Coturnix japonica: one gene and its partner. The protein of the gene in region 2 purifies or fractionates together with the protein of the main gene of each other region. This does not show direct contact. Links are inferred from orthologs where the notes say so. Each region holds a gene or a part of one and is shown on either strand. Other genes may lie near its edges.

What was found.
Region 1: the proteins of REXO4 (region 2) and RRS1 purify together in Homo sapiens (co-immunoprecipitation; 3 studies listed by BioGRID and IntAct, with this or other methods). This does not show direct contact. The link is inferred for Coturnix japonica from reciprocal best matches to the Homo sapiens genes REXO4 and RRS1.

What each region holds. Positions count from the first base shown.
Region 1 is NC_029517.1:104,227,885-104,235,131, forward strand, and holds RRS1 (ribosome biogenesis regulatory protein homolog), read left to right. Parts: upstream 1-3,934; 5' UTR 3,935-4,001; coding exon 4,002-5,072; 3' UTR 5,073-5,213; downstream 5,214-7,247. Other genes in the region: ADHFE1 (hydroxyacid-oxoacid transhydrogenase, mitochondrial), read left to right, coding at 6,146-6,201, 6,356-6,393. UniProt on the Homo sapiens protein: Involved in ribosomal large subunit assembly. May regulate the localization of the 5S RNP/5S ribonucleoprotein particle to the nucleolus.
Region 2 is NC_029532.1:5,442,841-5,451,196, forward strand, and holds the start of REXO4 (RNA exonuclease 4), read right to left. Parts: upstream 5,104-8,356; 5' UTR 5,064-5,103; coding exon 4,887-5,063; intron 4,658-4,886; coding exon 4,203-4,657; intron 3,933-4,202; coding exon 3,777-3,932; intron 3,615-3,776; coding exon 3,421-3,614; intron 3,257-3,420; coding exon 3,168-3,256; intron 2,848-3,167; coding exon 2,773-2,847; intron 2,112-2,772; coding exon 2,037-2,111; intron 1,304-2,036; coding exon 1,211-1,303; 3' UTR 634-1,210; coding exon of another isoform or gene 586-633; 3' UTR 1-585. Other genes in the region: serine/threonine kinase-like domain-containing protein STKLD1, read left to right, coding at 586-633; ADAMTS13 (A disintegrin and metalloproteinase with thrombospondin motifs 13), read left to right, coding at 5,610-5,684, 5,992-6,058, 6,869-7,149, 7,352-7,493, 7,874-8,010.

The DNA of each region.
Region 1 (7,247 bases), on a different chromosome or scaffold from region 2:
TCTTCTGGGTATTCGCTTGTAACTGTATTTCCAGTTACCCAGTTTTAGGTTTTAGAACTTTATTTACAGCCTCCCAAGTCTCCTCTTTCACAACTACATCACTCTGCTAATACAATAGTAAAGTATCTGATAGGAAAATTTACAAATGGACCAGAAATACTTTTGTTCACATGCGTACAGGTAATACCTTCAATGGAACAATCCACATGCTCAGAATAAGGCAGGTCCTTGAACCCATTCCTAGCTCAAGGCCTTATGTTGGTGAGACCATGGGAAGGAACTGCCCATTATCTGTAATGGGTAACAAAACTTTTCCTTAAATAGCATAAACTGTAACCAACAAGATTTTCTTTCTTCCTTTCTTCCTTTCTTTCTTTCTTCCTTTCTTCCTTTCTTCCTTTCTTCCTTTCTTTCCTTTCTTTCCTTTCTTCCTCCCTTTCTTCCTTTCTCTCTTTCTCTCTTTCTCTCTTTCCTTCTCTCTTTCCTTCTCTCTTTCTTTCTCTCTCTCTTTCTCTCTCTTTCTTTCTTTCTTTCTTTCTTTCTTTCTTTCTTTCTTTCTTTCTTTCTTTCTTTCTTTCTTTCTTTCTTTCTTTCTTTCTTCTCTTCCTGCTTCCTTCCTTTCGCTTCCTTCTTCCTTCCTTCCTTCCTTCCTTCCTTCCTTCCTTCCTTCCAACTGTTGTTCTCAGTATAGCTTCAGTGAGCTAACTTCTCCCTTATATGATGAAATTCTACCACGTAAATTTCCATGTAAAGTGTACCGAACAAAATCAAGGGATCACTGCCTCATTTGGAGACAGTGTGCGCATTTCAAGGGTACTTTCTACTATTTGCCAAAATTACCAGCACTTTGAGTTTCCCTGATAAAAGCATTCTTCATAATGATCCTTCCAGCAGGTTTAAGAATTCTCTGAATCATCTTGCAACTACATCTAGTGCCATCCAGAGGTAATCGACAAAAGTTCGAAGAGTAAATCGACATTAATTCTATCACGAACAGTAAGATGTGAATACTGTATATTAGAGCAGTTCTTAAGGGATACAAGGTTTAGGTTGTATCGCAGCTGAACAGAAGTTATAAAAATAAAAGCTAAGCAGGGTTAAGACACATTATAGCTTATTGATGTTGTGGTTCACTCTGTGCGTTGCATCCTGTGTTATGCTTTCTATTGCACTTTTGGCAAAGTGCTCCTGCAAGTCACACTGTGTCATCTTATGCTGTTCCTGCAGGCCACAACTGCAGTAAGAAGCACCAAACAAACACAGAAACAAACCAAAGCTTTTCTCACCACAAAGATACCTTGCACTCTGACAGAGCAGCCAACTTCTGTCTGATCATCTACTGTACAGAAAGTAAGCAAGTATTAAGGAATTAAGCACACACATGCACAAATGTGGTTATGTATTACTATAATTCACACTGAAGAGACAGTAAGTTTGCTAAGAAGAGTATGAACTTTCATTCAGTTCTTCACTTATATCTGTTCTTCAGTGCTTACAGTACAAAAGGTCTGGTGTTGTCAGTAAACCTAACAGTGATTTCTTTCTGCTACACAACAGAAGTCTATCCATACATAGACCATGAAATTTCTGTGTGAGGTAAGTAAAATCTGGCTTTGCCAAGAACTACAGCAAAACCACCAAAGACTTCAGCTCCATCAGGGTTTCACTCATGCCCATTAAGAAGTCTGAGTCTTTGAAAAGATGTAAGAAGCTTTTTCAATCTTATTCCCTAGTAATGTATTAAAACTATATGCTGTATTTTTTTTAATGCTTTGAGAATGTGTATAACGTTCACTTGTGACACATTGCAAAGACTTACCTAGACTGATGGAAGTATAATATTGATTAATAGCAAAAAAAAAAAACCAATCCAAACTGAATCAAAATAGATTTTCTGTTTATTACTAATTGCGACTGTCCAACCACATGCATAAGTGCACAGGAACAATTCCTTGCTTCCAGCAATGAAATATACAGCAAAGGGAGGGGGGAAAAAAGAAAAACAAAAAGGCATTAAAAAACTCACCTTTGAACTCAGTTTTAGGCCAAGTGTACTGAGTGCCGAGTTTCCTGGCAAGGATCCCCATTGCAGCAAACAAACAGACCTGTTTACTGATTTGCAAGCACCCATATAGCAAATTACAGTTCCTGGAATACATAAGAAAGCTGGAATGCAACTCTAAAACAACAGTTCCCAGAAATTGAATTGCTACATTATGGGCTTTTTTTTCTTCTTTTTCTTTTCTTAGCAAGTTCAGGCTATCAGATGAAACAACAAGTCCTGGTATGTGCTCCTACTGCTGTTCTAGTGACACACAGTAATCATAAACTCTCAAGGTAACTTTGGAAGTGTAAGAAATACTAGCGATTGCATCCTTCCACTCCTAGTCATTTATATGAACGCTTTGGGGCTTTGAACAAATATTAACCAAAAGAACTCAGAGTTCACTGCATAAGAACAAAACTCAGGAGAGCACAAGGATCAGCAGGTAGGTATTGACCAGACTGCCATTCAAAAGTACAGACGTATGCTTGAATCTCATCTAATAGTGCACATACATCCCTTCAAAGACGCATCTTTAAAGTTAATTTCATCTGTAATTCTAGGTGAAAAAATAACGAGGTCCAAGAAAGAGCATAGCCTCCAGTGCAATGCCATCTTGTGGTAAAAGGAGAAAAGGTATGCGTCATCTGCTCCAATTCTTCCATAGTGTACAAAACACACTCAGAATTGTTGACTTGGGAGTGGAAAAAAACGAGACTTTATCACAGTTAGAATTATAAGTACATTCATCTCTATTTACAAGCCTAGCATTTTATTTACTTCCCCAAAACACTGCTCTGCCGTTAGAGTCATTTCCGTCACTGCAGACATTATGTATCCGTAGAGATGTGATTTAGCTTAGTAGAAATGTGTATCTTGTGTAAAAATTCCCATAACTTCCTTGGCCACAACTAGACGCCCCCTTTAGCTTGTTTTGAGGGTACATGAGTCAGCTCGAAATGTCATGGCCATGCAGGCCACATCCCTGTAAAAGGATCCTTCCAGACCTCATTTATTTAAAAATAGCATGGCAATATCTCTGACCCAGACAACCTTTGGGTGCACGGTGTCACCTCACTTTTCACTGTGCTTCATGAGGCACCTGCCAATCCCACTATCCAAATGCTGTTCCCCTTCTTCCTTCACCAACAGCCCTGCCCTCAGGGTCACTGTCAGTCCTAGTGGGGCTGGAATATCACAGAATCACAGAATGACCCGGGTTGGAAGGGACCTCAAGGATCATGTAGTTCCAACCCCCCTGCCTGGCAGGGCCACCAAACATACACATTTACTAGATCAGGTTGCCCAGGGCCCCGTCCAACCTGGTCTTGAACACCTCCAAGGACGGGGCATCCACAACCTCCCTGGGCACCTGGGGAGGACTATATGGGACTTGAATTTTGGTTCTGCGGCTAGAACTTTTAGACATGGCTGTGCCGCAGTGCTGCGGGCACCTGAATGTTATGGAAATTTATGCTGTGAAAGAAATGTATCTATATTATTTACAAATCTGTGAGTCTTAAACCTGCTTGATGTTTGCGTGCTATCACACACACCACCCACAGTGGCTGGCAGAGCTGTGAGGCCGTTTGCTCACCCTGGATGCTGCACATTCAGTCACAGCCCTGGCCTTCCGTGATACCACGGGGCAGCAACACCTGACTTTCACAGACCCTCACTCCAGCCCTGTCCCATGCTGGGGCTAAATGCAATGCCTGCTTGGCAACCACCACACAGCGGGGCGAAGGACTGTGGCAACCACCACACAGCGGGCTGAGGGACTGTGGAAGCCGCTGTGCCCGGCATGGTGTACTACATCTCCCATGGGGCGCTGAGGCCCGTATCTGTGCAGCCTACATTTCCCGTCATTCCGGGCTCTGTACGCAGTTCCGTCGCACTGACCCGTATTGCTGCGCCGCGCTTCCTGCGCTCGGGCGGCCACACGCGGTCCGCCACCATGGCGGCCGTGCGAGTGGAGGAGGTGCTGGCGGCGGCGGCGGCCCAGGAGCAGCAGCAGGCGCGGAGCGTGCAGGTGGAGAAGGAGCTGGAGCTGGAGTTCGACCTGGGCAACCTGCTGGCGCTGGACCCCAACCCGCCTCCCGCCGCGGCGCTACGCGGGGCCGGGCCGCAGCGGGAGTCGCGGCTGCGGGCGCTGGCCCGGGACAACGCGCAGCTGTTGGCGGCGCGGCTGTGGGAGCTGCCGGCCGAGCGGGCGGACGGGGCGGCGGGGCCGCTGGTGGCGCGGCTGCCCGAGCCCGCGTTCCGCCTGCCCCGGGAGAAGCCGCCGCCTCGCCCGCGGCCCCCCACGCGCTGGGAGCAGTTCGCCCGGCTGAAGGGCATCCGGCGCCGCAAGCGGACCTCGCTGGTGTGGGACGAGGAGGCCAAGGAGTGGCGGCGGCGCTGGGGGTACCGGCGGGCGGGCGGCGACCCGGCCCGCGCCTGGTTGGCGGAGGTGCCGGCGGGCGCAGACCCGAACGAGGACCAGTTCGCCAAGCTGCGGCACGCCAAGAGGGAGCGGGTGGCCCGCAACGAGCTCAACCGGCTGCGGAACCTGGCCCGAGCGCACCGCCCCGCCGCCGCCGCCCCGCTGCACCCTACGGGCCACCAGAGCCGGCAGGAGCTGGGCCTGGTATCGCGCGTGGCCCGCGTCTCCACCGCCTCGCTCGGCCGCTTCCAGCCGCGGCTGCCCAAGGAGCCGGCGGAGCCGCCCTCCCGCGACGGCGGCAAGAAACGGCGCTTCCAGCCGCTGCTGGGAGACCTGGCGGCCGAGCGCGGGCGGCAGCTGGAGCTGCTGCGGGGCATGAACAGCAAGAAGCCGGCACTGGACATCACCCGCGCCGTCAACAAGCAGCTCCGCGAGGAGGATGCCGAGGCGGCCGCCGCCAAGGGCAAGAAGCGGGGACAGCGTGGAAAGCGGGGCCGCCGGCAGCAGCGGCCCGGGAAGAGGAGCGGAGGCGGCAAGAAGGGCGGCGCGGCCCGACGGCAGCAGCAGCCAGCGGGGGGCGGTGGCAGGAGGAAGAAGGCGTGAGGGACTGTCTGCATGCAGGCTGCAAAGGGAACAGCGCCGTGGGCACTGAGGGACTGTATGCGAGGGGTGCAAAGGGACTGCTCCACATCCACCGCTGTGCAGCCCGCACCTCTGTCAATAAACACATTTTGGTGTTTGAAATGTCTTGTGCACGGCTCCTGTGGGAGGGCTTGGGGGTGGCTGGGCAGCAGCTCCTGTGTTCTGCAATGGGGAGGTCCTTGAGGAGTGGTCCTTGAGAGCAGCTCAGCAGAGAAGGACCTGGGGGTCCTGATGGACGAAAGACTTAACATGAGCCAGCAGTGCGCTCTGGCGGCCCGGAAAGCAAATGGGATCCTGGGCTCCATCAGGAGAGGGGTGGTCAGCAGGGATAGGGAGGTGATCGTCCCTCTCTACTCTGCTCTTGTGAGGCCCCATCTGGAGTACTGTGTCCAGGTGTGGAGCCCTCAGTACAAAAAAGATATGGAGATTTTGGAAAGGGTCCAGAGGAGGGCCACGAAGGTGATCAGGGGGCTGGAGCACCTCCCCTATGAGGACAGGCTGAGAAAGTTGGGTTTGTTCAGCCTGGAGAAGAGAAGGTTGTGGGGTGACCTCATTGCAGCCTTTCAATACCTGAAGGGAACTTACTCCCAGGAAGGGAGTAAACTCTTTGAAAGGGCTGACACGGGGAAATGGTTTTAAGTTAAAAGAGGGAAGATTTAGGTTGGATGCTGGGGGGAAGTTCTTCACAAGGAGAGTGGTTAGGCCCTGGAACAGGCTGCCCAGGGAGGTTGTGGATGCCCCGTCCTTGGAGGTGTTCAAGGCCAGGTTGGACGGGGCCCTGGGCAACCCGATCTAGTAAATGTGTATGTTTGGTGGCCCTGCCAGGCAGGGGGGTTGGAACTACATGATCCTTGAGGTCCCTTCCAACCCGGCTCATTCTGTGATTCTGTGAGGTGCTGAAGCAGGTCCAGAGAAGGACAACGAGGCTTGTGAAGAGCTGAGCGGTAGCGCTGCAGCCAAGTCCCCCGGCGTCCCGCCCCGCGGCTCCTGAGGGGTGTTCCCGGCCGTGCCGTCCCAGCGGGCCGTGCAGCGCCATGGCGGCCGGGCGGGAGCGGGCCGTGCGCCTCCTCAGGCAGCTGCAGCGGGCGGCGTGAGTGCGGGCGGGACGGGTGGTTGAATGCCTGCAGGAGGTTCTGAGGGATTCCTTCGGGTGTTCTGCCTTAGTTTTACCTTTAAAACGGCACTTCAGTACTTGTGTTGTGTTCTTTGTGTGTTCTTTGTGTTTTTTCTTTCCTGCTATCCAGATGTCGGTGCCCGACTCACAGCCACACTTATTCCCAAGGTATGGTTTAAATCGCGTGTGTGAAATAATTCTGCATTGAGACTGTGGCCATTGTGTACACGTACTGCCTGGGTAGAGGGTGCATGTAACAGATAGAAAAGAGAGCAGAGAAAGCATAAGGTGAGCAGTCGCTTATTTTGCAGCTGTGCGATAATAAAGATTTTTGTTGGAGAGATCCCATGTCTCCATGTAAGCTGCAGTCAGTGTGCTCTGTCCTCCTTCCCCCTGCTGAAAGGCAGGCTGCACAGAAGCTGCTGCTGCTCATAGAGTGTCACAGCATGTCCTGAGTTGGAGTGGACCCACACAGATCACTGAGTCCAATGTGTGAGCTGACTCTACACAGAACCACATAAAAACAAAACCCTATGGCTGAGAGCGCTGTCCAAATGCTCTTTGAACTCTGGGCAGCTCAGGGCCGCGTTCACTGCCCTGTGCAGCCCGTTCCGTGCCCACCGCCCTCTGGTGCACACTCTGTCCCTAGCCCTACCCGCTCCTCCCCTGACACAGCTCCATGCCGTTCCCTGGGGCCCTGTTGCTGTCACACAGAGCAGAGCTCAGCGCTGCCCCTCAGCTGTGAGGAGCTGCAGCTGCCATGGGATACAGTAGATACAGTTTCCACTAGAGTTGGTATTTGGGCCCCTAATTTCAGTGATGAGTGCTTCTGAGTGGTTTTGATTCTTGTGCTTTACTGGAGACACTTTTTAAAGAGTTACCATTGCCATTTTGCTCGTGGAAAAGCTAATAGATGTTCAGGTAATGATTTTGTCCAAAGACCATCATACTGCAAGAGAAAAGCACAGCTGAGAAATAAAACCTCATTCTTTTCTTATTACTCCCACAGTCAATTCAAACTA
Region 2 (8,356 bases):
AATGAGAAGGTGTCTTTTCCCCAGCAAGCCAATATAACTGGGTAGTCTTATAACACTTTATATTCAGCTATGCATTTAGTCTGCTTACATAAATTGTCTCAGACAGATGCAAACAAACTTGTTCTCCACTGTCTCCTGCAGGCACTGCCTGAAGCACATTAATGAAAGCTGAAGCTATAAGTTAGTGCATTAAAAAACAAAACAAAAACAAAGCAGAAATGAGAAGAAAACAGCTCCCGCTGTTGCAAATGCAATTTGTTGTTCCCTGTGCTCCATAACAGACAAAGCAGACAGACGAGCAGAATCTCTTAATCTAGCAGTATGCTGTGTGACATGCAACTGCTAATTCTCTGAAACCTGTACCTTGCTACTTTCCACTGCTTAGGTTATTAAAACTGTATTAGTATTCAGTCTGACAATTACAACTGCTTTGGATTTTGCAGAATCAAACCCCATGTGTTTTAAAACATCATTTGTTTTAAAGGCTTAACTGTTTAAACACAGTTCTTTATTAATAGAGAAGTACAAAAATAATTGAAACAACAAGGTAATCTTATATTTATCAGTTCCCATATTTCTCTACAGGAGATTATGGCCCTTGTGGACACAGCACTTTTGAGACTGCAGGAGTAAAAGCTTTCTGTATAAGAACAAGACCTGCAGACTTCTGGCTCAGATATAAAAGCCTGGATTATCCTGAAGTATTTCACAAGATATTTCTCACCAGGAAGATTACTATTGGGCCATTAACAATACTTAATTCTACGTTGTGTTTAGTTATCACAACTGTGAGACTAATAGCAATATTTAAGAACTTGCTTTACTTTGTAGACTTCAAAAATATCCAAAATAAAGGTTTTAGTCTTGACAGTTTCAGTAAAGCAGTATCAGTTTCTTCCTTCATCCATCACAATTTAAAAGTGCTCTCTTTTTATTGTTCATTTAATATTTATTTCCTATTATTGACGAAGTACTTCACAAATGCAGGCATTTGCAAGTATTGTTCCATTAGGTGTAAGTACTATACAGAAAGGGGATACTTCAGCAGTATTCTTGTATGTGAATGTTGCCATTCTGTGCTGGGCTTTTGTTTGTATTATTGTATGAAATTACTGCTGTTAGTTCTGAGCAGCTCTCCTTGAATTTGCCTGGGATCTGACAGTGAAGCAGCAAATGCAGTTAAATAACACAGTGTGGAATCATTCAAGTCTCACAGTTTGACTTTAGATTTGTTCTTAAGAGCAGCTTCCCATTTCTTTTTCTCTAAGGTGTACAGTCTCATAGCTGCTTGTGCATCCTGAATCTGAAAGAAAACAGAACAGGAGGCTTAACTTAACAAAACATGGCTTGACATGACTTAAAAATGTTATTGTTCATAAACAGTGAAATCTTTCATTTTAATACATCCTTTCAAGTAATGTTTCATAATCTTCTATATTCAGATATTGACTGACTAGTGGAGGGAGGTGAACGTGTAAGGTGCCCATACAATGCTGTGCAATGCTCTCTCTGATCATGACTTGGAAAATCATTATGAGAAAATAGCCTTGATTACAGCACCTTGGAGATACCTGCATAACATGCTCATTTTTTCAACTCCTTTACCTGTTTCAGTGGATAAGAGAGGCTATAACTGCTGAGAGTAGGCTCTCACTACTGATGCATTTATTTCTATCCTCTTCAACACAGAGCAACAGTGCAGCGTGCTGCTTTTAATGTAAGCAATTTGACATTACTTTTCTCCCTGGGGATCTTAAAATAACAAGAACTAAAACAAGAATCAGTATTTAAAAATATGGTTGACTTGTGAAAAAGTAGTTTATGAAAGTATCCAAGTGGTGTAAGAAAACTTAGATAGAGTGTAAGAAAACTTAGATAGCAACCTTTTTACATGACTGTATCCAAGCAGAGCTTGCTGACTTTCATTGAGAGGTGAGAATGAAGGCATGGGATTCCAGAATGAACTCTGATCCCAGAAGCAATGTGTACCATGCTGTCAATCTACCCATAAAAGGCTACATTGATGAGATACGTACCGAGCAGTGCTCTGATGTCTGCACTTTAACATCTAGAATTCTATCACAGAGCAGCTTCAACGATGGCCGTGCGCACTAGAAATATAAAGATTAAATCACGCTTTATCACGCTGCTTGAATTATGTATGTGTATATATACAGCTTCCCTTGGTGAACTGGCAAGGAGAATTAATGAATTATGAGGCTTATGCACATCTGTTTGTCCTGCTTAGAGGATTGTCTATGTGGTCCCATAACCCTGAGGTTTAGGTTTGAGGTGTTTTACTGTGAAAAACAGAGTATGTAGTTATGAAAAGTAAAATAATGTCCTATGCTGTTTCTTCTGGAGTCCAAGTAGAAACTTGAAACCATCTATTTTTTTAATATCCATGTGCAAATGACACTATTAAGAGTATCCAGTGTCCTTACTATAAATGTAAAATCTTATTTTGCTATTCCAGAAGAGCGTTATGAAGACCATGTACATGCTAAGGAGTGGGAGGACTGCTGAACCTTGTGCAGAGGTATTACAGGTAATACTTACAGCTAACAAAGTAACACTGCTATACTTCAAACAGTAACCAAGCATTCAGTTAGACTGGTATTTTCAACCAACAAAAAGTTGATATCTCTGTTTCAGGTTGGAAAGAAGAAATGGGGACAAGTGAGGCAAGCACAGGAGTGAGTGGGCTAAAAGCTGGGAGTCGGCAGCTCTGGTGTCAGTTAATCAAGGTACTCCTTTCCATCACTTTCTTACCATGACTCTCTGTCTGAAAGGTTTGTATTTTTGCGTGTCGCGCATTTTCTTCTTAGGATGATCAAGGAATAAGACCTGAAAGAAATCACATTTCCAGCGTAAAGAGTGATGCTACACAAAAACTGATACAGCTGAATACACAGCTTCCTGCTCTTCAGCATCTAAATCAGTGCTATTAAGATCAGTGTGCAAGCTGAAGAACTTGGTGTGCCAGCAAACAGGGCTACACTTGGTACAATGTGAGAGGACAAGAAACTGAGCTAACAGCTAAAAAGCAGCAGTTCCTATGAGTTTAGGTGTGTTATTTGACTGATCCAGGAAGATGAATAATAAATTCACTGATTTTCAGTGTTTGGAGCTTTGTCTTCATAGCAACAAATCTGCAGCTGTGTTACCTTTAGGTCATTGTGTAATGCATGCCCAACTAATATCCTTCCATTCAAGATATCAGCGACCTCCTTCTGAACTGTTTTAAAGTCTTCACCTAAAGATGAGATGGAACACTTGGCATTAGACACACAAAACATCTAAGCAACCTACAACCAGAATATGGCATCTTTGTTGTGAAGACAGCGTTATACCTTATGGGACTGTGGTTACACAAGTTTGTGCTGTACAATCAACCCTCAGCTTGTTACAAGAGCCTACCTGTCTTTAGATGCTCAGGTCGTATGCCGCTAACAGCTGTCCTGTAATCCGTCACCTCTTCTGTAGGCTTGACATACTTGTCATAAATGCACTTTCCAAACCGGTTCACAATGGACACACGAGCCACAATGCTGTCTTCGCCGTTGGGTCCCACTCCCACCATCTCACAGTCCATAGCTACAGCTCTTGTAAGGCTGAAAAAGAAAAAGACAACTCAGTGACGCATCTCTTTACAGGGACCACACAGCAGAGCTGCGAGCAGCAGACTCAGATGTCAGCTTAAACTTTGTCTACAGCCATTACAAGCTAATTGTGATGCCTCTGCTGCTGTGTCTCCTGCTTGGAACACCACTCACCCTCCAGAAGACTTCTCTTTAACCAGCACCTGCTCCACAGTCCGTTTGGGTTGGCCTGTTTCAAGTCCCATTTTCCTTCTAGCAACTTCTGCTGCTTCAGGTCCTATTGCTGCTTCAATATCATTTGGATCAACATCATCAAACCAGATGTCGGGCCTGGTAAGTATAAATTTAACTGTGTTAAATAGTCTTAAAGTGACAGTGCATCTCCACCATGCACAAAAAGCACATTTATCTTTTAAAATCAAGAAAGCAGCTATCTCAAAAGTAGTCTATGCTGTTATCTATGCAGATTTATTGTGAGGAGGGGCAGCATTCATCTTCTGTTGCCCACATTCTAGCCTGGAAGAGCACAGCTATTTGGAACGTATTTCATTGTACACCTCCTAGAATACATTACCATGTGCTGATGCTTGAAGTACTCACTCTTTGGGCTGCTGTGCTTTATCGTCAGCTTTCCTCTTCTTATGTTTCACGTCGCTCTTCTCCTTTTCAATGCTGCCGTTTTTCCTTTTCTCTTTGCAGCCCTTCCCATTGCTTTTGATGCCGTTCACACTCTTGTCCTTCTCATCTCTCCTGCCTTTGGGCTCAGCCATAGGAGCGCCACCATCAGCAGAACTCTTGGCCCTCTGATCTGTGTGTTTAGGCTTTGAATTCTTGTCAGTTGCAGCCTTCTTGTGTTTCACCTTGCCCACAGGAGGGCTGTGTGCATTCAGACCCCCGTCCTTTTTATTTGTGGATTTGGGTTTCAACACGTTTTGATCCCCAGTGCCAGCTGGGACCTGTTGGCTGTTTCCCTCTTTGAGTGGATGCTGCTTCTTGGTGGATGTTTGAGATGAAGGGAGAGTCTCATTCGAGGCACTTGCCTTCTGCTTCAGTAGCTAAAAGAGCCAAAGAAAAGAGGGGGGGAAAAGGAGAGAGAGAGGGATTATCTCCTTGATCATCATCAATTCTCCCCCGATATCACTGAAGCAGAGCAGGGCTCTGGCTGGCTGCAACGCCCCATCCCCCGCGGGTTATTATTACACATAAAAAGTCCTTCTAAATGATTACACCCAGATCGGAACCGAGTTAATGCAGAGCCCGGCATCCAGCCCTGCTCGCCCTCACCTCCTGCAGCGCCTTCCAGTTGGAGGAGAACTCCTGCGGGCTGCGGGGTATGGCCGCCACCGTGGCCGCCTTCGGGCCATTCTGCGCGGCCATCCCCGCCTGCTGCCCGCTGCCCCGCCGGCCTTTCCTCCTCCGACCCTTCCCACCGGCCGCCCCCTCGGGATCCGCTTTCGCCATGCGGAACCACGGCGGGGAAACGGTGCAGCACCCGGCGGGGAACGGCGGATCGAGCTTTGCGTTCCGCTGCGGGGCCGGGGCTGTGCGGGCACCCCCTGGTGGTCAACAGAGGGGAGAAGCCAGCGGTGCATGGAGCGGGGTGTGCGTCCTGCGGGACATCGCCCTGAATCACAGTGCTCAGTCTGTGCTGAGGTTTGGCGAGCAGGAACGCGGAGTTCAACAAATCAGAGCCCTTACCCCGCACAAATTACTCCTTGTTTATTTGGCTGCTGTAGTTGGCCCGAAGCTGCTTCTCTTCGCTGCGCTCCTTGGCTGTAATGAAGTTGCAAATGTTGTGCAAAAAGCTCTCCCTCTCCAGCTGTTCCTGTAAATCCTCCCACAGCAGTTCAATTCCCCCTCGACTGTCCCCCTCTGCAGTCGATCATCTCTCCTGTTTATTTAAACTCTGCATGCTTTGCTTCCGTTCCACGTGATGCCTCAGACCAAGCATTTTAATCACCCCTGGGCCAGAGATTGCTCTGCAGCACTGCTTGCAGTCCCTCCAGCATGATCATCAGTCTGACCATCCGAGTACTCATAATGTTCCCTCTGGGGTTTTGCTGGCCCTCCATCCTCCAAGAGGTAAGCCTGACCTCCAGAAAGCTCCGTTTCCAGGAAGCCTTGTTTTATTTCTAGGAAAAAAAGAAGAGAAAACACACCGTGTTCTAAGCCAAGATGTATCAGACTTCACTAATCAAGAAGATAAAGCTATTTCCTCCGGGTGGCCGTTGTGCAGCGTACGCTTAGTGCAAAATAAAACCATTAGACCTTGGCATCCATACTTGTTAAATTGTTTGCTGACGTCCCTTCCAGGTTCGTTTCGGTTAAATAATAACTTTGTGTCCATTTGTTTTCCCTAAAAAACGTAAAGCTATCCTTCTTCTTGCAGAGGTTTCTCAGAGCTTTGGATGCAGACGATGTTTTCTCTTATTTTGGAACCAGCTCAGCGTCTGATGGTATGCAGAGCTCTTTCCTTCTTGATTTTGGAACACATTTGTCAGTTTATTCCTAATCCCGTACATTTGATAACGCTAAGAACACTTATTAACTAACCCTGCTCTGACAAGTATTTAGCATTTCTGAGTTGCGTTGCTCGGTGAGGTAATCCATGTCTCAGTGTGTAAGCAATTGAAGAACTGGGCCAGTGTTTAAAATCTGCTTAAGGAGCTGTGATAAATCTTTTCCATCCGTGGTCCTTATTTTCTGTACCAGTATTTTTCGACAAGGTTAACAGATCTAAGTCATCTGAATGGGAAGGCATAGACTGAGAACAGCTTTAAGTGCACTTGTTAACGTTTTGAAATGCACAGGTGGAACGTTCTAGGTCTGGATTGTTCTGGATAGTTCAGCATAAAGGTACATTTTGAACTGTCACATTCTTAAAGCAAGGATGCTGTCACTTTGTGAGTTCACCTACTGCTGTTCCCAGCACCTCTGTTCGGGTTATGGTAATTCTCAGTAATATTTAACGTCTGAGGGAGCAAATCTATCTCAGCCTTTGCCAAATGAACTGTTCTCATTGACGAGGGAGAGAAGCACAGGTCATTCAGGAGCCAGTTCCAGAGCTATTGTCTGTTCCCAGTCTGAGTACTCACATTGGAATAGATGAAGTTCTTTGCCTATTGACAAAATGAGGCCATAGCTGTCATTCAGAGAATAATTTTTCCTAAGAAGGCAGATCATTACATTTCTTTTCCATGTATTGTTATTTTTCATAACTATTTCCCTTGTTCTTTTTGTTTGTTTGTTTGTTTTGTGTCTTTCAGTACCTGAGTTTGTTGTTGCTCAGCCAGATTGCCCTTGTAAAGAAGAGCAGACTGGGCTGATGTGTCAGATCCAGCACTGCTCCATTAAGGCTTGGGGAGAAGTGTTCACCTTCGAATTTCTAGAGGACCATACCCTCCTTTCCTCTTCCTTTGTGATCAGCCAAGTGGTGAACTCTTCCTTTAGCTTAATAAAGCGATTCTCAGGCAACTGCTTTGCAGGTGGAAATCTGTTGGCACCTCCTGGGGCTGAGTGTAGAGTCACTTACTGTGAAGGGCAGCTGGTGAGTATGCACTGAACTTATCAGCTTTTCTGCCAGCGTTTACAGCCTTTTCAGGCTTGCAGCTTGAAACCCCAAACACGTGCGAACCATCCATTTAATAAGTCTGAGTGTTACTAAGAAGAAACAGGAAGGATATGGCACACGGTTCTCCATTGTAGCAAGTGTTTGCAATAACTCAGAGGTGGAATTTCATCTCCTCTAGCAAGGAGTCATTGTTACAGATGAAGAAAAGATTCACATCAGGCCTGTCAGAAGAAAAGATACGGCCCTGCTGAAGGATCTTGGCTTCTCCAGACCCCACATTCTCTTCAGACAAGCTGCAATAGGGGCAAAAAAAGCAAGAGGTAAGATGTATGGAGAGAAAGCTCTGGGTGGTTCTGCTTTGACAAACTGTCTTCTGGTAGTGTGGTTGTTTAAGTGAGGAGAAAGAAGAAGGTTTGCATCTGCAAGTATATGATTGTACTTGATGTGTGTTACTCACCTTGCTGAGTTGTAAATAGTGTGCATTTTCCATTAGGTGTTTATTATTTTGATAATACAAACTTGTTATCAAGGATGAAGACAGGGGAAAGAAACCATCTGAAATGGGAAACTTAGGCAAGTAACCACAGAAATGGTTTTCTAGCAGAAGTATTTTAGTCTTTCAGGAAAAGAGAATGGACTTATAGAATCTTCTATGCTGCCTGGCATTTTAAACTCTGTGTCTCTTTCTGTTGTTCTGCAGGGCACTTTGCTTCTCGCCTACAAAAGAGGGCTGATGGAACTGTCAAACATCTGGAGCTGATGGTTGTAGCAGGTCCTGATGTTTACATGTACCACCAAGAGGACACAGAGCGATATATTCTTGCCAACCTGAACATTGTGAGTGTAGCTTTCTGTTTGGATTGCTGTGAGCTCTCCCAGTGTTGCTAACAGATTCAGTTCTGTGAGTGTTCCTTCAGAGGTCTTTGCAGTTCTCTGCTCCTATCAGGGCACTGCTTACTTGTAGGGTGTTCCTCTGTGTCTCTTTTGGACTGTACAGCAAGCTTACCTTTATAGAAGGAGCAGCATGAGTAAAAGTGAATGTTAGAAGATCTTCATTCCATTACTAATCTAATTCCATATGTAATATCAGGCAAGAGTTTATACACGTCACATCCTGGTGATTTTGTTTTTGTCCTTATATTTACCAGATGTGTTACCTTTTTAGTGAGTAAACTCCTGTAAA